7 linked regions of the Solanum lycopersicum genome follow. The protein of the gene in region 7 binds, or shares a complex with, the protein of the main gene of each other region. Links are inferred from orthologs where the notes say so. Each region holds a gene or a part of one and is shown on either strand. Other genes may lie near its edges. The genes, in order: large ribosomal subunit protein uL10c; large ribosomal subunit protein uL5c; large ribosomal subunit protein uL15c; large ribosomal subunit protein uL1c; 50S ribosomal protein L27; 50S ribosomal protein L6, chloroplastic; large ribosomal subunit protein uL3c.

Region 1 (2,583 bases), on a different chromosome or scaffold from region 7:
TTTTTTTTGTTCATTACCGATTATTAATACTTATCTCAAATAAAAATCATAAATCATTGAAAGATTTACTTTTGCTTATTTTATTAATAATTAAACTAAAAATTGAATATACATGTGATTATGCCCCTTAAAACTATGAGACTTACGTCTTGTGTCTCAGGACATACGCCTCACCATATACTATGTAAAAGATTTCACCTCACGCTCTGTCTTTACTATACAGATACAATCTATTCAAATATTATATTTATTAAAATAATATAATATAATATAATTGAAGCAAAGTCTAGGACCTGAGCAGAGAAAATAACAAAAATATCACTTGTGATTTTGATTACATTCAGAAATAATTTTTGAATATTCTTGACTCTTTAAATTTATTTTAAGCCAGCATTTTTAATTGATAAACTTGTAGATACAGATATACATACTTGAAAAAGGATTGACGAGGTGTAGAAGGAATAATATTGAATATGGTGAATTTTAGTAGTAAATAATTTAATTATTATTAATATTTGTATGAGTTATATTTGATAGGAGTATTATTTTATATTTAATATTTGATTTGACGTAAAGAAAATAATCTGTATTACATCAATTTTGAACAAAATTCTTTATTTATATAAGTATCTTTCACAAATATAGTAAAATGATGTTAAAAGAGTTTTGAAGAGCAATAGTGATTTTATTATGCTAATGCATGAATATTTTTTTTTACTAATATCCACATAATTCCATATCTTATATACACCTTAATGCCAAATACATCATATAATATTTGCATTGATTATACTTAATGCGACTCTACTATGAAATTCAAACAAAATTAATAAAATATTTTAATATAGAAGAAAAATTGATATGATTATTATATTATTTTTTTAAAAAAAAATTAATAAAGCATCTGAAAATAATGATAATATATATTTAAAATAACTGATCGAATCATAATTAATATCTTTAAATATAAGATAAAATAATTTTACATTTTATGAAATTATTATCTTTTATATATCATATCAAATCATCTCAAGAATTTTGTTAATAATAATAATAAAAATATATCTAACATAATTTTATAAATTAAAGACGATAAAATATATGTAAATATTACACCTATTTTGCCTTTTTTAACTTCTTTAATGGTTTGTTTGGTATGACATAAATATTTTCAAAAACATAAAGTTTATGAAATACCCCTAAATTCTATCTTAGCACAAAAGATAAGGCAATCCAATTCTCAAGCTATCATCAATGGAGGCTGCTCTCTTCAGCTTACCTTCCTCTTCCTCTCACTCTTACCCATTTTCCGTGAAATCCCACTTCAACAATCCCTTCATAATCCCCCATTCCAGTTCTCACCTCAAACTCAAACCCAGAACTCTAACTATTCGTTCAGCCATTAGCAGAACCAAGAAAGAAGAAACAGTCGAAACAGTGAAGCAACAGCTTGAAGATTGTTATCTCTTAGCTGGAATCAGTTACAAGGGGTTAACAGTTAAGCAATTTCAAGATCTTAGGGCTCAACTCCCAGAAACAACAAAGCTTCTTGTTGCTAAGAACACATTGGTACTTAAAGCAATTGAAGGGACAAAATGGGAAGCATTGAAACCATGTATGAAGGGAATGAATGCTTGGTTATTTGTTCATAGTGAAGAAATCCCAGCTGCTTTGAAACCTTATAGGACTTTTCTAAGGGAGAAGAAATTGGAAGATAATGATTTTACTGGTGGGGTTTTTGAAGGGAAGTTTTATGGGCCTGATGAGTTTAAGGTGCTTGAGAATTTGCCTACAAGAGCTGAGATTTATTCACAGCTTCTTGGGTCTTTGAAAGGACCTGCTTCAGCTGTTGTTGGGACTATTCAAGCTCCAGCAAGGAATTTGGTTATGGTTCTTAAGGCTTATGTAAAGAAATTGGAGGAGGAAGAAGGTGGAAGTCAATAATTTTTGTTGTAATTCTTGGATATGGTAAGCTAATACTATTGTCTATTTGGATCAATATTTGAAATTTTTCTGAGAGATGGAATTTTGTAAATTTTATGTTTTTGGTAGAATGAATTTATCCTTGGCCAATTGTTCTAAATTTGTGTCCTCGTATTTGGCGGATAATTATCTGGATTACTTCATAACTGTTTGAGAGGATTTATGTTATGTGAAATGTACTATTCTGCTCTTTCCATTATCACTGAACCAAGAAAATAGTCTGTATTCCTGCTTCAGCTCACTATATTTGTCAAATATTAAAAGGGCAGCTCGGTGCACTAAGATCTTGCTATTTGCTGAGTTTGGGCTTTGGTAGTAGTCTGGAGGAAGTGTGTAGCTTTATTCTTGCAGTTTCTTGCTATTGTTATATGTTGATCGCACTATATTGTTGACGTTATTGTTTCTTGCATGTATCCTCTGCAGTGCTTTCCTATTACTAGTTCTCATGTTTTCCTTATTGTCGTTTTCCCTTTTTGTTAGTACTTTCATTTACTTCACTTGAACTGAGGGTCTTTTGGAAACAACCTTTGTACCTCCACTAGGTAGAGGTAGGGTTTGCGTACACTCTACCTTCCCCAGACTCCACTTTTTGGGATTTCT
Region 2 (3,571 bases), on a different chromosome or scaffold from region 7:
CCAAATCAAATGACATAGAACCTGAAACCACTAAAAAGCACATTCATACACACTTTGAAAGAAAAAACTCTGTACAATTTGAGCAGAATAAAATGAAGCCAAGGGAATAAAGATTCAGCAACATGGTATATACTATAAATAACTGTGACTTTCTAATATGCGAATATAAATAAACCTTAGAGGAAGAAAGGAGAAAGGTGGGGGATCAGGGAGTAGAAATAAGTATGGGACTCCACAGCCTCACACACATCAAGTGTTAAGCATTAGGACAAATTTAGAAAACGTAAATAAGATATCGCCCGCAAATACTCCTTATCACATACGATAAAAGATAAAAGCAGAGATGTTAACTCACCTAAATGTGAATATGGTGGAGCTAACAAGAGAAACTCTTTGCCTGAAATCAAAGTAAATGGCAGACGAGAAAAGGGAGCGGGTAGGAAATATTTAATAACATACAAATTACAGTAATCAAGATTCATGAATAGTAAAAACTTAACTAGAGATAAAAACAATTCTTATTTTTTTTTTTTTAGAGGAAGAAAACGTAAATAACATATATTCGAGACATCACCAGCCAGATGGTAAAAGTGCAATTACAGATTTTTCTATTCAAATTGTACGCCAAAAACAACTGATAAACCACAAAACAGTTAAAAAACAACAAATCAACTCATTATCCCTGGAGATTGGATCCACCTCATCTCCTAGACCTTTGCTTCGCCTTCGAGTCAAAATGGTGAGCTCTAAGCTTTTTCTTTTTCGTAAAAGTTGTCTGTCCACCAGAACCTTCTCTAAATGGCATACCCATGAGAGCCAACAATCTGTGTGCCTCTTTATCTGTCTCAGCTGTTGTTGTTATGCAAACATCCATCCCTCTTGGCTTACCAAGAGCATCATAACTTAACTCTGGGAAGACACTCTGTTCACGAAAGCCAATGCTATAATTTCCATGACCATCAAAGCTATTGGGGTTTACGCCTTGAAAGTCCCTCGTTCGAGGAAGCCCCAAATTAATTAACCGGTCAAGGAACGAATACATTACATTCCCTCGAAGTGTAACAGCAATTCCAAGCGGTTGACCTTCTCTAATTTTGAAAGTAGCAATAGCATTCTTAGCCCTAGTCTTCACAGGCCTTTGCCCTGTAATTAAGGCCAAATCATTCATTGCTGCATCCAAACCCTTGGAATTTTGTGCAGCATCTCCTATACCACAATTTACCACAATCTTTTCGACCTTCGGAACCTAAAACACGGTTTTTCCACATTCCGTATCAAATCAAATTAAAACTAAAAAATAATAATAGAGTTTGAAGCAATAGGTCAATGCAACTAATATTCACTGTGATTTCTCACTCCTCAAATGATAATAGTGTCAAACAAACTAATTTCTCAGCATTTCAACTCTAAAATTCAACATTTAATCAAACAAACAAGAAACAGTTCAAATTTGTAGATATAAGTTGTAAAATTTGAAGCTAAAGAAGTACATATGCTTTGAAATTGAAATTAACTTGAAAAGTATAATTGAAAATTGAATTTGTGTTTGAACCTGCACTAAGCTTTTTTAAAAACTGAAAAATTTGTTCAATTCCCCCATTTTCCCTTTCCCAAGCCCTAATTTTTATCTGTTCTGGAAAAAAAATGCAATGGACAAACGACTCCTAAGTTTACCTGAAGAATATTGGTGTAACTGAATTCTTCCTTCAACAACGGCACAATCTTTTCGAGGTAATTTGTTTTCAGACGATTAACTTTTTCAGCTTCACTTTTATCCACTAGTACTGTTGCTGAAGCTTTCACCGTCAATTTATTGGACGACCGGACCTTGGTATTTCCGACCGGCAATCGAACGGAGTACGCCGGAAACTCAGCATTGTAGAAAGAGGAGGCCGTGGAGTGTAGAAGAAGAGGAGAAGCCGCCATTTTCTCTGAGCTTTTTCTCTCTGTGTGTGAAAAATAAAAGGGTAATTGGATAAGATGTTCTTTGTGGATATAACAGAGTTCTCTCTACTAAATTTTAATTTGTGAATGTTTAAGTAAAAAAAATTCGGATCCATTTCGCCATAGATTTTTCAAGTAAAATTTTTTACGTGAACATCAAAATAATGATGTAATATTCAGTAAATAAGAAAATGACGATATGATTATTGATAAAAGTGACGAACAATATGTTTCGTCTACTTCATAATGTATGCAATGATGCTTGTTGCACTATCTCTGAATTACCATATTGCTTCAGTGACATGGACACTAATTGTTACGATAGTGAATCTTTTTATTCTATTTTGTTATGCAATACAAACTTATAGTTAGTTTTGATAACTTTTAAAACTTATTAGTATACATTTCTTAAAAAAAGTGAAATATGTTTCCAAAAATTAAGCCAAACATATGATGAAATTTATGGTTAAATGTTAGCTTAAGTTTTGGGCTAAAAATTATTGAATGAAGATCGTATCAAATCAGGAAAATTGTATATAATAGCAAACTGTTAATTTAAATTAAATGTTATAAATATACTTTGATTTAATTGTACCCTATAGCAAACTATTGCTATTTCCGCCACTCTCCCTGGTGGAATCTCGCTCGCCACTCTCGTTTTGTGACAGTCTCACTCACCTCTCTCGTTTTTTATACAAACACAATTGTATAAAATGTGTTTGCGTTTGTATAAAGTGAGAGAAAATTGTATAGATACATATAGTTTTGTTCACCTATCTCAAATCTCACTCACCACTCTCCCGAATCTCCCTCGCCTCTCTCGCTTATTCAAACAGAAACGAAATGTATAAATTGCATTTCTGTTTGTATAAAGCGAGAGAAAATTGTATATACACATGTAAATACATATATCTTCGTCCTATACACTTGTAATTATACAAAACAAATATTCTCCTGCTCAGTTTTCTTTTGTCTTTCTCTTTTTCTCGTTTTATACATACACAAATGGCAGATTATACAATTTATCTTTTGTATACAACTGCTTTCTTTTGTATATGTATAGTGAATTATACAACTGCTTTCTTTGTATATGTATATAGGGAATTATGCATATTTATATTTGTCACCGAGCGCAAGTATACAAACTTTGCTATATCATACAAATATAAATTTTGTATTTGTTATATATGAAATTTACTATATCAAATTTTATTGGCCCAACAAAAATTTTTACCAAGAAAATATTGGGGTCTATTAGACTGGAATGAGGTAGGCCCAAGTCTAAATTGGTTTGTGGGCTGGATAATTTTTTGAAAATTTAACGTCGTAGTGGCCCATTTCATTAAATAAACCTAATCTTTATTATTTAGCCAGTTTCTTCACTGGCATGTCTTTGTTTACATTTATAGCCTAATTTCGCTCATTTCTTCTATACTTGTATTTACTTAGATTATTTGAACTTCGTTTATAATTTATTTATTTTGGATGAGTTTACCTTGAATAAAGGTGAAAATAAAAGAATTTCACATCGAATGGGATTGGAACCTCAAAAGTTGTGGTAGAGTAGAAAGTACGAATATATTTTTATCAGAAATTTTAAATTCAGAGTTATAGAATATAATTTCTT
Region 3 (4,285 bases), on a different chromosome or scaffold from region 7:
TGATGAATCTAGGAGTAATTTTTGTCTTTTGAATTCATCAAATATATTTTAGTTGATTTTCTCTCTTTTTTTATATATGAAAATTATATTTATATCCATCTATATTTTCATTTATTTTTAAAGGATTCTGGTTAAGAATTATCTTGTTTTCTCCATTGCAATGACTATAGTTATATTTTTTTTAAAAATAGTACAGGAGGAAGAACATGAGTAAAAAGAGATGGAGGTTTGTGTGATTGTCAAATTTGTGTGTATATATATATATATATATATATATATAAAATAGAATACTTATATACATAGATATTTGTATTATAATATTAACACTCGTTGAAAATGGTGATTTACAAATACAAATATATCTGGATACATAAGTAATTTATCCAATTTACAAGATTGATTAGGCAATACAAGTACAATTGGATACATTAATACTATATTTTTATAAATACCTAAGTTAACACCAAGCTTCATGTATTACAGGATCACTTACCAAAAAGAGATTGGCAATTGTTATTTATCAATTTTTTATACAGGCGAATTCTTATATACTTTGATACCGACACATTCTATTATTTTCTATTTTTTTGTTTCTACGTTGTCCAATTTATCCATCTTTGATTTAGTAACACAATGTATTCATATGTATACTATATTGCATTCATTTTTTGAACAACAATAATGTATTCATTTTTCAAATAGCCGTGTTCATATGCTAATTGTCATACTTTAACTTGTTTGATATATATATTGATACATTAAATTCTTACAAAAACTTGTATCATTGATATATATATATATATATATATATATATATATATATATATACACTTTACGTTTTATAAATATAGATACTAATTTGAATTCAAAGTATTCATATACTAACTGTACACAATTAATACATTTTCCTTATTTAGTTTGTTGTAATTAAACTTGTATTACTGTATAAATAGAAAAATAATAATATTTAAAGAATTAATACAGCTAGAAAAAGATATAAATTGTATTCATTTTTTATAAATAACATACTTGTAGCTATTGAACTTTGATAAATCCTATAAATGTAGTCATTTTTATAATTTGCTGATTAATGAATGTATACAGAAATTTGGGCGGAGTAAGACAGGATTAAGGAGATTCTTTTAAATTTTCTTAAGCAGAACATTATAAGAGTAATCCTCATCGGAGTATAGCATGACGAAAGAGGAAGAAAAGAAAGATTACTATCTAAAAAAGAAGTTGACGAATTACTAATAACCCTCGTATAGAATTTATCAATGACTAAGTAATCAAACATGTTAGTAATTAATATGACTTGTAGCGAGCGTTTAGATCTCTCTTTCTTAATCATATGTTTCAAATTCAATCCCATAAATGAAAAAAATCAGTTAGGAAAGTCCCCTCTAAAAATGTGCCCAGTCGTGTGTGAATTCAAATTTTATTTAAGCCTATTACTAATATCAAACATCATGTTGGAAGCAAAAAAGACCACGATCCTCAAAATGAAGTGTAATACACACATATCGAATTAAATATCGAACACCTGATAATAGACTCGTAAACTAATTTAAAAAGTAGAAAAGAAAGTCCCTGAAATAACCACCCCTATCCGTTAAAATTTGTCAAAACACTTTTTGCTTGGACAGTGAACACAATCCTGAGTTCTCCCTTATCAACAATGGCGTCTCTACTCTCCATCTCCTCTGCATCACCTACAAGAACAAATTCAATCATTACCCAGTTTTCTTCATCATTCAAGGTACAATTTCTCCTCTTTAATTTTTCAATTTCTGTCAAAATTATACAATTCTCATTTATCCCCATCAATTTTTTTCAGGGTAATGTAAGTAATTTGAAGTCAAGTTCGAAGCTTTTGCCTTTAATAAAGGTCTGCAATTTGAAATCTAAGTCAATAACAAGAACCCCATTTGTTGTTTTCAACCAAACTGCAAGTTTTGGTGCTGATTCTGCAACTGGGAGTGTTCGTTTTCGGCTTAATAACTTGGGTCCTCAACCTGGGGCTACCAAGAATAGGAAGAGGAAAGGTAGAGGGCATTCAGCTGGACAAGGGGGTAGTTGTGGTTTTGGTATGAGAGGTCAAAAATCAAGGTCTGGACCTGGAGTTAGAAAGGGGTTTGAAGGGGGTCAAATGCCTCTCTATAGGAGACTTCCTAAGTTGAGAGGAATTGCTGGAGGTAATTTGTTAACATTGCTTCAACATAATTATATTATCACAGGGGTCGTTTGGTACAAGGGATAAGAGATAATAATCTCGGGATAAAATGTTGGATTGCCTTTGGTTAGGGGTATTAGTTAGTCCCTGAATATCTATCTTGTCATTTTTATAAGATAATGATAGGATAAGTTATCTCATATATATATGGCGGGATAACTAATTCCTCGGGATATACTAATCAATGGGATAACTTTGTCTATCTCATCCCTAGTACCAAATGACCCCTTAGTTTGAGTTGGATTTTGTTTTTCCTTGTTTTGTTGTTTGTTTCTGTGTCCATCTGCAGTGTTATAGTTTACCATTTAAAAGTCTATGGATAAGTGTTATAAAATTTATAGCTTTAACTTGACTATGTGTTCTTTTTTATATTTGTGTTCGGGGCACCTTGCATGCAGTAGTGTTGTCAAAGCTGTGCATAAGCGAGGTTCAAAATGTGTTGAGCGCTTTGTCTTGCTTAATGTGCTCTTCAGGGTCGTCATCAAGTTTCTTAGGCATTCTTTTGAGTCTCTTTAGGCAACACTAAACAATTGATATTTCACTTAATAGTAAAAAAAATAATTTCTTTGTTCATATATTTGTCATTCATGCTTACAATTATTATTCTTAGACTAAACAAACATATGTATTTGTATTTCTCCCTTTGCTCCTTTTTATATTAAAGATCATGCTTTATTCACGTTTTATGCTTAGTCCCAATGGTCCTCAGAGTTTTTTTGATTTGATAACACTGTCATGTACTTAATTCCACGGGTACCTGCTTCTTCCTGCCAACACTTGTGTTGGATATTCCTTTGCTACTTCATTCCTCAACTAATGGAATACAAACTCTTTTTTCTGCCCTGCCTGGTGTCATCCATCTCCAAATAGTAAATGCGCTGCTGAGCGGATAACTCTATCCAGAAAGGCTTGGATAAATGAATATTGAACAGGAGACATTATGGTTCTCAACCAACTCCATTAACAACTACGCCACTCACTTGGGTGCACTGTGTGTATCTTTGTTTACAAGCATGTTTGTTTTTCTTTTGGTTGTGTCATTGCAGAGGCAGATTTTCATAGGATGATAAAAAGTCTTATCTGCATCTGGTGGACATATGTGTATGCATACTCAAACTGTACTGATGATTAATCTAAAGAAATTTATTACAAATGATCAATATATTGCACTAAGAAATAAAGCTATGCATAGTTATATGACATCAAGGCAAATATCTTGAAATTCTTATTTTCTTATTTGCAATATTCTGAAATCCTCAACATTTTTATCTTCCTCTATAATCCGAAGACTGTTACCCCCTTATTTAAACTAAAAGGAAAGCCTTGATCGATATGAGAGAAATGTGCTCAAGCATCCAACCAGGTGTAACGTCTGTCAAGAAGTTTCTTACTGCAAAATGAACATTCTAGGAGCTCTCACTCGAACAAATGCTCCTTATGCCATCATAAACCGAATCAGCGGATATAAAATCTGTCCTTTCCTAACCTTCCCCTAGCAGGAAACTTATTTTAAAAGGAGGAGGATTTGGAAAGTTCATACTAAGGAGGTAAAAAGGCCCTCGAGTCAAAGGGCTATTCTTCCTTTGATTTGAAGAGAATGTCAGTGCCTTGACTCTCTAGTCTCAGTGTGGCTCTTGAGTAGTCTTCACTTTCCCTTATGCATGGCGTTTGATTAAGTATTTTCTTCAATGTCAAGTTGTTGGTATTACTAAGATGATTCATAACTGTCCTTTATTTTTGGCGTAACTTGTATCCATTCGCATTATATAATGCTGAACCTTGATACTCACACCTAGAGTTGTGTGTCAAAAAATAAGTTCTTACTTTTCTTAGGCCTTTCATACTGATTAGGCCTTGCCATGTCTAATTTTTATAACTTTGACTATTTTAGGCTATTCTAACTTAATAACTGAAGTAATTGATAGTGCTCTTTGTAAAACCTCCAATCTCGTCTTTTAATTTGTTTCATTATGTGTTTTGTTGATTTAGTTAAGGATTTCCCTCAAGTCAGGCTAATCTGTCAAAAGCAATTATCTACTACATGTTTACCAC
Region 4 (4,155 bases), on a different chromosome or scaffold from region 7:
TAATCAACCAATGATATTAAATTTTATATAATAAATAAATAATTATTGGTGAAGGGAAAATAAATTTTAAAAGACTGATAAAAGTAAACAAATATTTTAATTCTATCGTATAGAATATTCAACCATATTGTCTGCTTATATATCTCATTTTAAATTTCTCCATTTCAAATGTATTATAAGTAATTATTAAAATGAAAAATTAAAGGGAGAATGTATCATATAGTACAATAATTTAACTTATTATATATACTTGAATACATAAAACTATTAAGTTTGTTTGTGTGTCTTTACAAATCAACACATTAGAGTGATGAAATTCAGTTTAAACTGAAATTTCAGTAGAGAAAACTTCTATGAATACTCAAATAACGTGTGTTGTTTAATATGTATTAACAAATCCTTATAACAATAACTTTGCAGAAACATATACAACAAAGTATAAAACAAACACACTAGGATATGTAATATAATGAAAGAGAAAATAAAAAAATTGAGTCCATGAAATGCACAATGTACCCTTAAGAAAATTATTCTCCTCTACCACCCGAGGTTTAAAATACTAAATCCTCACGATAGAACGTTTAGCAGTGTGTTTATACAAAAATAATATTTAATTATGCAGAAGAAAGACGTTCAAAATCTTTGTTGTTTTAAAACAAAATGAAATCTCTCTATTCATAGAAAACAAAGGATAGTGTGAACAAAATATTTATAGAACGTTTAGCAGTGTGTTTATACAAAAATAATATTTAATTATGCAGAAGAAAGACGTTCAAAATCTTTGTTGTTTTAAAACAAAATGAAATCTCTCTATTCATAGAAAACAAAGGATAGTGTGAACAAAATATTTATTGTGCCAAATGGGAAATAACACAACTCTTTGAAAAAGTTACAATTCTTTTGAAAGAGCACAACCTTTCATAAAAGTTGTAACTTTTTGTAAAAATCACAGCTCTTCTTCATATAAGTCATTTAAATGAAAATTCTTACTTGTGATGACGCTACCTAGGTTGACATATGATTCTCTTATATATATATATATATATATATATATACATACTTAATCATTATTAAGTAATAAATATAATTGCTTTAATTATTAACTTTTAAGATTAATCATATATAAAAACATGCTATCGTATATGTTTTCAATGAAACATCCGATAAAATTGAAACAATTTTTTTTTTTTTCAGACTCTCCCAAGGAAACTTGCATCAATAAAGGGAGGGGTTATATGTTTAAAAATCAAAAGCTAGTAGGTAAAATCATATATTCTGTAACTTCTGTGGGTCAAAATGATAAATCTAATAACATACTTTTGATATACACTCTCTTATCTCGTTATCAACATACGCCAAATGGATAGGCATTATATATGATTTTGTTTATTCACCACAACAATCCCTTCGGTCTCATTCAACAATGGCTTCCACAGCAACGCCTTCTACTCTCACTCTTTCCTCTATTTTCTCACAAGAACTCAACCCCAATTCCCTAATTTTCAAATCAAAGCCTCTTCTTTTCACATCCCACAAATCTTTTTCTCTGCACCCATTAAGCCTCCAGTACAAAGAAAGGAAGAATGGACCTCTTGTTGTTGCTGCTATGGCAGCTGAAGCTGAGGTTGAAGACGCCGTGGAACAGGAAGGTGAAGAAGGGGCTGTTGCTGTTTTAATTCCTCCGTCTAAGCCTAAGAAAGGCAAGGCTGCATTGCCCTTGAAGAGGGATAGAGTATGTTGAAGAACCCATCTTTTTATTGTTGATTTGGTGGATTTTTAGATATGAAAGATGGGTTTTTTTTCGTTGTGTGATATGTGGGGTTTGCTTAATTTTTGTGTTTTGAGATGATATTAGAATGGAAATAGATTTCTTGCCCCTAAAGTGGATATAGCATGTGGAAAATCTCCAAATTTTTTTGGGTTAATTTATGGATGTTAGATGAAAGATGAGTTTTTGCTGGTTTTGTATGATAGGTTGAAACAACTATGCCTTTTTTTTTTCTTGAGCTACGGGAAACAACCTCTTTACTTCTCTCTACCCTGGCCAGAGCCCACTTTGAAGGACTACACTGTGTATGTTGGTGTTGTTGATGATGATTCTTGTGGCGATATTACCATGGACATAAGTCATAACTTTTTTGCCCCTAAAGAGGATATTTATGTTGAAACTCTTCATTTCTAATTAATTTTGTGAATGTCAGATGAAAAATGGGTCTTTGTTTGTTTGTATGATATGTGGCTTTTGCTTAAGTTCTGTTTCATTGATCTTTGTGGTGAGATTACTATCAATATGACCTGTTTTGGAATTTCTTGGTTCATTTTTTATGGGTGAACTTGTCTGAATTTGTTTGGTCGTGTAAAATTTGGTCTGTACTGATTTACCTACCAAAGGTCTGTTTTGTGTGATGATGAGATAATTCAGTAGTTCATTATGATAGTAGGTGATTTCTAACAGCTCTAAGTCTTTTTGGACTGAGTGGGAAGTAGCAGGTCGTTGGTGGATTAATCCTGTTGCATGAGCTTTCTGGGACACCATCCTTATTAACAAATTTATAATTATACCGGGAATTATGAAATGGAATTTAATATTACGTTAATTACAATTTCTAAGCAATGGAAATGAAATTATATTAAGCTAAGATTGTATCTGTATTGTGGTTGGCGAGTCACGTCAAAATTACCTAGTCTCACATTGTGTCATTTCAAAGGAAGCTAGTTTGTATATGCTTGCAGTTATTGGCAAGTTATGAAGCAAGTATTTACATAGCCTGTACTTTCCTGTTTGTATTGGGGGGAACAAGCTTTTTTTTTCCCTGTTTAATGTAGACTACCTTCCTCCTGCCCGAACATGTGAGGATTCAGAATCTTAAGTTACTTGGTGTAATACTAATAAAATGTGGAGTCCTTTTAAAAGTGGAATCACGGTGGCAAAGATCAATCAGGAATGGTGAACAATCAATTTTAATGCAGCAAAGTTAGACCTTGTGTAGTGGGATTGAATTAGATCATTCGAACTCTCTCATGTGATCCTTGTCCTCATAATAAGACATCTGAGGAAATATGCTGTCCGGAGATTAAACATTTCACATAATTCTGCATGTGGTTGTTCCTTTCACCAGAAAAGGATGTCACTGTACAGGTGCATAATTTTGCACTTTGGAGATGCTAGTTGTGGAAGATCATCTCTATTGATTTTCAAACTGCGTTTCTGATATGCTTTTCCTGTTGCTGATACATCAAGCATCAAACTTCTCTGTTTCTTTCTCTATCTCATTTACCCGTTGCTCCATCAATTTTCTCATAAATTGGTTACTTCTTTTTCCATAATAATTAGACGCGGTCTAAGAGGTTCTTGGAGATTCAGAAGTTAAGAGAAATCAAGAAAGAGTATGACTTGAAAACGGCTATAGAACTCCTCAAGCAAACAGCTAGCTTAAAGTTTGTCGAAACCGCTGAAGCTCATTTCCGGCTCAATATTGACCCAAAATACAACGATCAGCAGCTTAGGGCAACTGTAAGTTTTCAAATATTTCATTAATCATCATTACATACTTCAAAGTCTATATCGAGTGTTTACTGGTATATTAATATCTTGAATTGTGGTGACTTATCTATTTCAGGTTAACTTGCCCAAGGGAACAGGTCAAACTGTTAAAGTGGCTGTCCTTACCCAAGGTACTCCTTAAAAATATTTTGTGTGAATCGATCGTGATTGTATGCCAAATAATCAAGGGAAGTAGATTCCTTGATAATTGGTCTGTTAAGGTCGTTATCGAACTCCTTTCATTGCTTCTAGAAAATAGTCATTTTTATTTTGTATTGATAAATTAAAATGTCATTTAACATAAGTGTAGATGTGATACAAGTAACTGGGCGTAATAATGTGGAAATGGTCTGCAAACTAGAATATCATATATGGTTGTCATCCCAAATCAGCCTTGGTTAATTAGATTGTCTAGTGAACTTGCAGCTTTCACCCTACTTTTTTTAACGCACCCCAAAGAAAAAGGAGTAACTTTCAGAATTGTTTTTTTTTTCTTAAAAAAAAAGATCAGACATATGAATCTTCCTTTTTAGTGTGATTGTTAGTCTAGTTTTTGTAACCCTAGATTGAATGCAATATGCTAGGATCTTTTTTATATTTGGGATGTGGTC
Region 5 (4,102 bases), on a different chromosome or scaffold from region 7:
ATTTGCACATATAGATTATATAGCATGATGTTGGATTTAATTATTTTATTGTATTAATTTTATATATTGAAATTTAGATATATTTAAAATGTTCACCTAATATTATTTTTTAACCAATAAATATATTTATTCTTTGAAAGAATTAGGTTCATGGCATTTATATTCTCCACTTGTTCTTGTCCTATAAAAGTAAATAAATTAAACAATCTATTTTACTTTAAATATTCTTCTTTTAAATCCTTTAATTTACCAACACAACTTTTGACTCGAGCAATCAATTCCACTAACTAGTTCAAGAAGCATAATATGAGCAATTTTCAAGAATAATGTGGCATTATTGTAGGTCGGCGTGTTAAATAATCGGGTTGAATTAAAATTTAAAATATTAAAATGAGTTCAAATAAAATTTAAGTCGAATCATAACCTCTTCAAATTATGTTAGGCTCAAATAGGATAAACATTGGATTGGATCATGACCTGTGCGATTTGACATGTTTAATCTCAATAATTTAAACATATTGTTATTTTCCTTTAATAACTATTATTTGAATTTTAATTCAATAAAAACAGTTATAAAATTGATATATAAATCATAAAAAATATAAAATAGATTCTAATTTATGCATTCAATATGAGAACATAAATTACACCAATACAAAAAATACTCTTAAAACATGTTGAAATTAGAGATTACATTGGACACAATTAAAAATTATTTTAAAATGGGCTAAAACGTAAATAAGTTGAGATTGATCCAATTCAAAATATCTAGAGCTCCCGCCTATAAAATTTTAAATGAGTTAGACGAGTTATATATATTTAGGCTCATTTTGACATTCTTAACCGTACTTGTATGGAGGTATGCAAAAAAAAATTATTCTTATACTTTTTATCGAAAAATCATATTATATATGCCCGTAAGTAGGAGTATGAAATTTTCTCGATAAAAATTAAATTAAAAATTTTTAAATATGATTTCATTTTTTGAAAATACTTTTCGCAGAATATCAATTTGAGATTAAAAAACGTTTTCAAAAATATAAAAACAATCACTTGGATTTTAGTTTCGAAGAAAAGATATCTGAAAAAACATTTTATTTTACTAATTAAAATCATATTATTCCCCTTTACAAGTTCGATAAAAATATTTACAACTTCAATATTTATAAGCAAAATTAATTTATGTCCATAACTTATGTTCGATAAACGAAACCATTAAACTTAACCCGAAAACAAGCTAAAAAAAGCCCAATTCAAAACGGGTCAAGTATATTATAAAAAGGATGGCTGACATTTCTCTTATCTTTTTATCTCGAAGATTTTGCCATTGTGGCTCCATAATCCCCTCGGTGAGTTCATCTCTTTTCCCCTCTTCTGTAAATTCAATGTTTTTTTCTTGTACTATGTTTAATTGGGTGTTCGAAAATGTATTTAATTTTAGCTGACTCGCAAATCTTGGTTTACTATTCTCTCCATTTCAATTTGTTTGTGTGGTTCGACTTTGGCAAATAATATAAGAAAGTAAAGATTTTTTTTTAATCAAGTGGGGTTGAAGTAAAACTAATGTTATGTCGAATGTATCAAAATGTTGTTTAATGTGAAAAGTTAGAATTGAAGAGTTGCTATTGGAAATTGAAATGGAGGGGGTTAGTATTTATGCTTCACTAGGATTTGAACTTGAGACGTTATGGTTATCAATCTACTTTATTGACCGCTACTAATATTTTAGGTGGACTGCAATCTTGATGAACATACTAGTGTTTATTTTGTTGTTGATACTGGTTTCCTTTGATTCCTCTTTGTTTTGTGGTTTAAAGACTTGTCCTTTATGATTAAATATGGTTCTTTTATGACCAATTGCTTGCGTAAGGACTTATTTGCGGAATATTTTGTGGTGTAGAGTTTGCGAAATGCGTTTGTGGTGGAGGGGGGTTGATGTTTGGTGTAATTTTGAAAAGAAAAACAATGAGTGGAAGTAATGTGTATTGAAATGCAAGAGATATATAATGGAGTAAAGATAGTTGTAATGAGGACTTAAGGTACTTCTATTGTTAGGAGTGTGTGTTTTGTATTTTTTTTGAAGATTGATAATAAGCTCAGCAAATTGGTTTTATATTTTGATAAAGCTGAGTATTAAGAAATGACAATATTATCTAAACAGTGGTTGGAGCGAGCGATAAGGAGAAAGAGCTGAAATCGTAGTAAAAGGAAATGACTTATCTCATAAGTGAGAGTAGTTATTTCCCCCTTTTGATGGAAAACTTTTTTTCTTAGGAAATATGTTTAGGACCATTTTTATCACTCTTCTACTGTTTTAGTCATACCGAGCAGTGTTAAAGTCAGAGTCAAACCTTCTGTAGACTTACTATCAAAAATATATTTCTCCAATTTGTGTTCGCGATGATCCGGGGAAATTTTAGATTGGCGATTAAGATCCTTGGTAGTTGTTATGGTAATAGTTTTGTCCTCTTAGTAGTTCTATGCTCATATTTTTCCCATTGTTAAATATCACTTCCTTTCCTTTAGGCCTCTCATCTCTGATAGTAAGTACCACGAGAGGCTACTGAATTTCTTTGTTTTCTTTGCAGCGTATAAATGGCAGTGAGTTTGAGTCTTGTTTCCTCATTCAAAGGACTCTCCTTATCTTCCAATTCTCTCCTTGGGGTTTCTCTTCCCATTGCCCCTAAGTTCTCCGTTTCCTTCCCGTTGAAATCTCCATTGACAATTGAGTCTGCACACAAGAAAGGAGCTGGTAGCACTAAGAATGGTCGAGATTCTCCTGGACAGAGGCTTGGTGTCAAGATTTATGGTGACCAAGTCGCCAAGCCCGGTTCTATAATCGTTCGCCAGCGCGGTACAAAGGTTTCAATTTTACTTCTTCTGGATCTCCTCTCTCTTTTTTATTTTTGCCTAAAACTCGTATTTGCTGTGGAAGTTCTGATAGTTCTTTTGATTAATTAATAGTGCTTGAAATGAATTCGGATGAACCCACCCAAGTAGAGTGTAATTCCAGTTTTTTTGCTCAATACCTCACAAACATACTAGGTCCTGGCATCTTGTCAATAACTCTGCTCCATTCGTCTGGCTTTCTTCGTTTGGTTTGTATATTATTTGTTAGAAATATGTGGATTGTCTAGAGGGCGTTAGATTGAGTACAAAACAAGGTACTAGAGGGATACATATCTTGTCATTTGAAGTAACAGATTGCTATAAGGTTTAAGGTTTTGAGCTCGTGTCGTGAAGACATAGTTGGAAGTTCTCTTTAAGAAATGCACATTTGTTATAATCCGACTTGAGTTTTTTTTCTTTGCCGAAAGTGTCAGTTTCTGACAGTATGATGCTATGAGTAGATGTCGTCTTCTATCAGTTAGATAGTAAAAGGGTTTATGCCAGAGGTTGGTATTAGTTTTACTTTTTTTCGGCTCTGATATGATCCTGTTATCGTCTGTTTGTTTGCTCTAAGAGTAGTTCAAAAGTTGCATTCTCCGTTTAGCATTGCCATATATTCTGTTCCCTAATCGTTCTCGTGGTGATATTTCCAGTTCCACCCAGGAAAGAATGTTGGACTTGGCAAAGATCACACAATATTTTCTTTGATTGATGGACTAGTCAAATTTGAAAAGTTTGGACCTGACAGGAAAAAGGTTGAGTTCTTTAGCTTACTGCTTGTAGATATGTGGTACACGAGTGTTATTAACGTATACTGACTGTGCAGATAAGTGTTTATCCACGCGAGGTGCAACCTGAAAACCCCAACAGCTATAGAAACCGAAAGAGAGAGTCCTTCAGATTACAACGTGAACGTAGAAAGGCACGAAGAGAAGGTGTCATCCCTGAGCCTCAGTTGATAGTTGCTTCTGCTGCTGAATCCTCTGAAGATAATCCCATCACCACTTGCTGATAATGGTCTTTCGATTTTTCAAACATTCTGTTGTCGTTTTGGTTATTGCTAGTAGCTACTTGGGAACACATTTGCAGGCACATTTTCTAAACTGTGTTTCTGCCATTGTTGTCTTTTTTTGTTTGTAAATTGTGTTACTGAAAGCATGAGTCTTTGTCACAGTTTGTATGAGTACAGAATGAAATGTATGATTCAGAAGAT
Region 6 (2,030 bases), on a different chromosome or scaffold from region 7:
GTAGTGAGGTTGAGTAAAACTCTTAATCTTATTCATGTGTATCTGCTCTTTTGAAATTACGGCAAAATTCTAAAGCACTCTCGAATAACCAGGCAAGCCAGTTGTCTATTATGCATTAGCGCAAAACTGCAATAAACAATAGAAATTGTGGGAGTATAATGTGATGAATAAGAAACTTAGCTTACAACTAGAATTTTTAGTTCGTAAAAGTTATCAACTTTGCCAATTATTCTGTAAGTCAAATCTTAGCATCTGTATTTGGTTCGTAATCCAAAAGATACCAAATGGATCCATTATACTCAAAACCCAGCAAACTATCAAAATATGTTTTCTTTCTTCATTTTATAGATATTCTTTTTGAGATGTGCGTGGGATTGTTGGAAATTTGGAAGTATCTCATAAGGAAGTGTCCCTTGTTTTTATCCACTTATAGTTTATTGTTTTGCCCTTACTTTAAATGGTCAAACTAGCCGTTAACTAGTCGTTGTAGAGTTTTAGGAGCTTTAATAAAGAACTAGTTTAGGTATAATAACCATAAATCATAAGGTTTTTGATGCTAGTTTATACTAGATGAGCTTGTTGAATCCTAGGAGATACGTTTATATGATTGAATATCCTTACAGAAAGTGTCATACACACGCCTTAAGCTAGAAGAATATCCATGATTTCAACAATTAGACGTGATTTTCAACTTGGAATTTTCATTTACACGACTCTCGTCTCTGATGATGATGATCATCAGTTTCACAGAATTTTGTGATAAAGGTATGATTCTGCACCCCAAATGATTTCCTCTCAACTTCAAAAGCCATAATATGTGTCTTACACCAACTCTATCAAACATTCTGCCAATACCTACGGACTGTATATAAAATTTTTCATAATCTTATCACTGTTGTTATGTTGGTCAATTCTAGTGACAATGTATAGATGCACATATTTTGAGTGTTTACTCTGAAGATGTTCTTTTTCTTCATCAAACTCGGCAGGACTCTAACTGATAACATGGTAGTCGGCGTTTCCAAAGGATTCGAGAAGAAACTTCAATTGGTAGGGGTTGGATATCGTGCAACCATCGAAGGGAAAGACATAGTTCTCAATCTCGGATTTTCTCATCCCGTTAGGATGGAAGTTCCTGCTGGACTGCAAGTTAAGGTTGAAGAAAACACCAGAATCACTGTAAGTGGTTACGATAAGTCAGAGATCGGTCAATTTGCAGCTTCAATTAGAAAATGGAGACCTCCAGAGCCATACAAAGGTAAAGGAGTGAAATATGCTGATGAAATAGTTAGAAGGAAAGAAGGTAAAGCAGGCAAGAAGAAGTAAATCATGGTACATTTTGTCATTGTTTTATTGTATTTTTCTTAGAGCTATTTTGAAGTTAGGTTCATTTTGCAAGTGACTTGACAAATTTTTTATCTTGTGGATCCCTTTAAATATAAGAGTCACACAATTTGAATATTGTATGTAATCTGGTTTCCCTTACATTTCTTTTAAAGCTGTTCTGAAAAAATTAAACGATTTTCTTGAGCTGAGGGTCTATCACATTAAAAAACAAAGTATGTCGTTGTGTTCATGGAGGTGGTTGCATTCAATAAAATATTTACAAATTCATGAAAAATGAACATAGTTTTAGCAAGAACGCAATCGTTTTCTAAATCGATAAATTATAATTGAACATTTATCTTTCAATAAATTAAATTGTAACCTTTTCCTTTAATATTGAAAATACGTTGTATAAATTCCACACATGAATAAGTAACAATACAAATTTAATCTCAAATATAATTCTTTTGATAACAATACTCGAAACAACGGAACTTAATACAAATGAATGTGAATGTATTCAAACATTTAGTCTAAATAATTGACTATTTTGATAAATAATTGATAATAATTACTCTCCAAAAATATATATTTTAAATGTATTTTTGACCATTTATTTTAATTTCAAACACTTTCAATGAACCAAACTATATATGAGAAAGCAGTAATTATAGTCAAAGCAGGGAAATATACATTTAATGCAC
Region 7 (4,161 bases):
AAAGAAAAAAAAAACAAGAAAGGAATTCTTTAAAAACAATAATTTTATTAGAAAATAAAAAAAATTATGTTCATTAGAAAAGGTGTATTTTGACATAATAAAATAACAACATAGACATTTTTAGGTTTAAAATATTAGTAGTGGAGACATTTTTAGAATAAATGTTTAATCGTATGGACATTTTAATAAAATTATTAACAGAGTATATTTTTATTTGACGTGACATAGTTTAAAGCTATTTTTAATGCTTCTCAATCAAACAAATAACAAATTATAAAAAAATTAAAGATTAATAAATTAAATTAGTCAACAATAATTATTAATTAAAACTAAGTCAACTAGAATTTAAAAGAAAAAGAAATATAATCTTCAAAATATGAATTATTGAAGCTAAATTCCTTTTTTTTTTTAAAAAAAAAAGTTGTTATCCGGATTCAATCCGGGGTCTAGAAGGGGGATACAATGTACATATATACACCTATACATACATCGCGTTTTGGCCGAAGCTCGTGGATGGCGTGGCACCCCACGAGCTTAAGTAGATCCGCCCCTGTTCCAAATGTGTGAGAGAGGCATGATAAAATATGGATAAAAAATTTGAGAGAAAAAAGTCGATAATAAGATCTCTTTTTTTCTTTTCATCAGTAACAGGATAAAAAAAAGTGGGTTCAATTTGAAAAAAAAAAGGTAACTAAATTATATTATGATACCTTATAGTTAATAAAATATTGACATATTTACATTTATTAATTATTCTTAAGTATAGATCTTATAATAATTATGTTAGGAATTCTGACTAGTTTAATAATTTTCGCATAAAAAATTATATGATCTTATTCTTGCTATCTAAATAAGACAATTTTCGTATCTAAAAGATTCAAATTTGACCTCTGATTAAGGATTTTGCTCCCTAATAAAGATAAATTTATATCCAGAAGACTCGAACTCGACCTCTAATAAATGATGTAGAAGTATTTGTCACTCTTAGGAGGTATCAAATGAGCGAGTTAGGTTGAAACTGAAAATAATAAAATAAATTGAAATAAAATTTGGGTTGAGTTTTAACCAAACCAAGTTTACTTTGAGTTCAAATGAATTGGACTCAAATTTGGAATGGGTCATGGTCCTGTTCAATTTGACCTGCTTAATCTCAATAATTTCAACTTAGTAATATTTAATTTTTATAATTGTAATTTAAATTTCAACTCAAAATTATTATTTTTTTTAAAAAAAGAAACAGTTACAAATTAATAGATAAATCTTTAAAAAAATATAAAATAAATAATAATTTATACTTTCGGTATAGAAACGTCAATGCAAATAAAAAGTTATATAAAAAAATTGAAATTGATGATTAAATTAAATATTTTTTAAAAAATAGATTAAAACTTAAATGAGTTGAAATTAAATTCGATTAAAATTACGTGAGATACCGCTCCTTAATTTATATTTGGGGTCTTATAGTTTTGTGCAACCATCTCCCTCTTTCCCCATCTTGTACCGGATAAGGAAATCCTATAACAGGGCGTTTCCCCTTCCTCTTTCTCTGTCTCAGCGAACCAGTAAGCCATGTCTCTCTCTTCTTTCTCTACAATGCCCACCGCCAAGCTCCGCCTACAAACCCTACCCACTTCCACCACAGTCACACCCTTAACTCTGCACTCTCCATTTCTCCCCTCTTTCAGACTCCCAAAACATAAACCCCTTTCAATTCTCCGCATTTCAACATCTCCAGCTATCTCTGCCTCTCTTGAAGCTGGAGTCGGAATAATGGCAACCAAACTTGGAATGATGAGTTTCTTTGAAGATTCAGGAACAGTGGTGCCTGTTACTGTTGTAGGGTTTCGCGAAGGAAATATTATTACTCAAATTAAAACTGAAGCTACTGATGGATATAGTGCTGTACAAGTTGGGTATCGACGAGTTCGTGATAGAAAACTAACTAAACCTGAAATGGGTCATCTTGAAAAATCTGGGATTATTCCTCTCCGTCATTTGCAGGAGTTTCGTCTTCAGTCTGTTGATGGATTTGAAGTAACGCAGAAACTTGATTTTAATGAATTATTTAAAGAAGGTGATTTGGTTGATGTCGCTGGTACAACCATTGGAAAAGGATTTCAAGGTCTGTTTCTCTACCACTCCAATTATCCTAAAGATTGCTTTTTTCGGGTCGTTATCTAAATTTAGCCTTGTTTATCAAAGATTTGAGCTCATTTTCGATTGTTTTTAAGTATTTGGGTAAAGTTATAAAGTGCTTATAAACACTTATTTTTAAGTCAAAAATAAGCTAAAGCCATAGGTTAGAAATGGTATAACAAGGCTTTTGGTTTTTATAAAAATCCCATGCCAAACGCCAATCCAAACAGGTCCGAAGATTTCATCCCAATTTCATGAATGAAGTGTACAATTGACCTTGATTTTATGTGTTGTGATTAGTTTTTTCTTATCATCAGTGAGCTATGAATATATTGTCTTTCATATGTGAACTGTGAAATAGAGAACTCGTATTGTTAATGAATCTAGTTCAAATGGATATTCTAAATTCATATAGCTAGCTTGGGATGGAGCGCGGTTGTTGTTTAAAAGAGAACTGGCCTGTGATTTTAGTAGCGTGATACATCTGAAATATCAAGTCTTTGGTTTTGCATTACTGCACTTTGTTATGCTATTGCAATTCATTTATCCTTAAACCAGAATGTATTTGTTTGTATAATTATGATACAATGTATCACTATAGATGTAAATATGATATTTTACTTATTTGTAAGAGTACTTGAAATGCCTGTTACATGAGCTACATTAACTTTTTGGCCAAATGGTTTGTATTAATGCTTCTATTGATTTTCCTCAATAACCGCAACTTTTGTTTGTAAATACTGCAATTCCAACTGAAAATGACATTGTAATTGAACATCGTGGTAGCTCCTCTCTTCGTGTGGCATGGCTTCAGCACCTAAATAAGCTTCATTAATGGATATCTTGATATTCTGGTTAACATGACTTGCTATCATAGTGTTTAATTATGCTGGTTGATTCCACAGTGTACATTTTCAGATGTTTAAATGTGGAAGTAGGGTTTATCAACTTTTCACGTCTTAAAAGTTTATCATAACCTGAATAGTTGTTTGAAGTATCATACAGACGAGACTTCCATACAGGTGCATGTATCGACATATTGTAACTATTAAGTCAAGGTACAGGTAGTTCTTTGGTTCTCTATTGGTGGCGGTCTTGACTCTAGATATATCATTCACTTACTAGAGAAGTAATTTTTTATCTCAAATTTGATTGTCTTTACAGAAAGCAAGTTCTATCTATCATATCTTGTTTTTCGCTCTCTCATTGTTGACACTGGTGGAATTGGCTTGCAGGTGGTATCAAGAGGCATAATTTCAAGAGGGGTCAAATGACTCACGGATCAAAGAGTCATAGACAACTAGGATCAATTGGTGCTGGGACAACCCCAGGGCGTGTATACAAGGGCAAGAAGATGCCTGGACGAATGGGAGGCACCAGGACAAAGATTAGAAAGCTCAAGATCGTCAAGATTGATGATGAACTTAAGATTCTAATGATCAAAGGAGCTCTTCCTGGTAAGCCTGGAAATCTTTTGCGAATAGCTCCGGCCAAGATAGTTGGCAAAAACATCCCCAAGAACTAATTTTTGTTCCCTCTTCTTTTATCAACTCTATGAAGTGATGAAATTTTTTCTTTCAAATTATGATATTGTGTTTCAACCAATCTCTACCTTCAAGTTTTATTTGTCAGATTTCTTAGCTAAAAAACTTTACATTATCAGAAGTCTATGAAAATATCTAGTTTTGTGTCCTCCCTCTCATAACCATAAAAACACATATTCTATTCACGAATCAAAATATCAATCTGTTCAAAACCATTTATCGTATGAGACAAATTATTGATGAAAATTCACAACATATCAATTTGTAAAATAGTGTTTTTTTCATGTACTATAAACTTTAAAGTTCACCATCTCGTCTAAAGTTTGGCATTTAAAACGATTGTAGTTTAATTGGTGTTTTATTATTAGGGAATTGTATGATTTTGGCGCAAAAATATTTATTTTATAGATGACTATACTATAGTGCAAGTCATTATAATTACAAAAGAGAAAGGTAACAGCAACATTACACCACATTGAAC

The links.
Region 1: large ribosomal subunit protein uL3c (region 7) and large ribosomal subunit protein uL10c share a complex: the UniProt entries of both Arabidopsis thaliana proteins name them as parts of the 50S ribosomal subunit. The link is inferred for Solanum lycopersicum from reciprocal best matches to the Arabidopsis thaliana genes AT2G43030 and EMB3136.
Region 2: large ribosomal subunit protein uL3c (region 7) and large ribosomal subunit protein uL5c share a complex: the UniProt entries of both Arabidopsis thaliana proteins name them as parts of the 50S ribosomal subunit. The link is inferred for Solanum lycopersicum from reciprocal best matches to the Arabidopsis thaliana genes AT2G43030 and AT4G01310.
Region 3: large ribosomal subunit protein uL3c (region 7) and large ribosomal subunit protein uL15c share a complex: the UniProt entries of both Arabidopsis thaliana proteins name them as parts of the 50S ribosomal subunit. The link is inferred for Solanum lycopersicum from reciprocal best matches to the Arabidopsis thaliana genes AT2G43030 and RPL15.
Region 4: large ribosomal subunit protein uL3c (region 7) and large ribosomal subunit protein uL1c share a complex: the UniProt entries of both Arabidopsis thaliana proteins name them as parts of the 50S ribosomal subunit. The link is inferred for Solanum lycopersicum from reciprocal best matches to the Arabidopsis thaliana genes AT2G43030 and EMB3126.
Region 5: large ribosomal subunit protein uL3c (region 7) and 50S ribosomal protein L27 share a complex: the UniProt entries of both Arabidopsis thaliana proteins name them as parts of the 50S ribosomal subunit. The link is inferred for Solanum lycopersicum from reciprocal best matches to the Arabidopsis thaliana genes AT2G43030 and RPL27.
Region 6: large ribosomal subunit protein uL3c (region 7) and 50S ribosomal protein L6, chloroplastic share a complex: the UniProt entries of both Arabidopsis thaliana proteins name them as parts of the 50S ribosomal subunit. The link is inferred for Solanum lycopersicum from reciprocal best matches to the Arabidopsis thaliana genes AT2G43030 and emb2394.

Annotation. Positions count from the first base shown.
Region 1 is NC_090803.1:3,526,247-3,528,829, forward strand, and holds large ribosomal subunit protein uL10c, read left to right. Parts: upstream 1-1,150; 5' UTR 1,151-1,254; coding exon 1,255-1,944; 3' UTR 1,945-2,083; downstream 2,084-2,583. UniProt on the Arabidopsis thaliana protein: This protein binds directly to 23S ribosomal RNA.
Region 2 is NC_090808.1:1,642,617-1,646,187, reverse strand, and holds large ribosomal subunit protein uL5c, read right to left. Parts: upstream 2,096-3,571; 5' UTR 1,927-2,095; coding exon 1,675-1,926; intron 1,247-1,674; coding exon 701-1,246; 3' UTR 501-700; downstream 1-500. UniProt on the Arabidopsis thaliana protein: Binds 5S rRNA, forms part of the central protuberance of the 50S subunit.
Region 3 is NC_090804.1:3,795,317-3,799,601, reverse strand, and holds the start of large ribosomal subunit protein uL15c, read left to right. Parts: upstream 1-1,485; 5' UTR 1,486-1,678; coding exon 1,679-1,759; intron 1,760-1,837; coding exon 1,838-2,195; intron 2,196-4,285.
Region 4 is NC_090800.1:78,432,018-78,436,172, forward strand, and holds the start of large ribosomal subunit protein uL1c, read left to right. Parts: upstream 1-1,355; 5' UTR 1,356-1,423; coding exon 1,424-1,732; intron 1,733-3,334; coding exon 3,335-3,514; intron 3,515-3,620; coding exon 3,621-3,675; intron 3,676-4,155. UniProt on the Arabidopsis thaliana protein: This protein binds directly to 23S ribosomal RNA.
Region 5 is NC_090810.1:58,850,415-58,854,516, reverse strand, and holds the start of 50S ribosomal protein L27, read left to right. Parts: upstream 1-1,302; 5' UTR 1,303-1,349; intron 1,350-2,588; 5' UTR 2,589-2,595; coding exon 2,596-2,862; intron 2,863-3,542; coding exon 3,543-3,644; intron 3,645-3,715; coding exon 3,716-3,901; 3' UTR 3,902-4,102.
Region 6 is NC_090811.1:69,213,316-69,215,345, forward strand, and holds the end of 50S ribosomal protein L6, chloroplastic, read left to right. Parts: intron 1-989; coding exon 990-1,326; 3' UTR 1,327-1,530; downstream 1,531-2,030. UniProt on the Arabidopsis thaliana protein: This protein binds directly to 23S ribosomal RNA and is located at the aminoacyl-tRNA binding site of the peptidyltransferase center.
Region 7 is NC_090805.1:36,930,232-36,934,392, forward strand, and holds large ribosomal subunit protein uL3c, read left to right. Parts: upstream 1-1,361; 5' UTR 1,362-1,569; coding exon 1,570-2,122; intron 2,123-3,371; coding exon 3,372-3,661; 3' UTR 3,662-3,741; downstream 3,742-4,161. UniProt on the Arabidopsis thaliana protein: One of the primary rRNA binding proteins, it binds directly near the 3'-end of the 23S rRNA, where it nucleates assembly of the 50S subunit.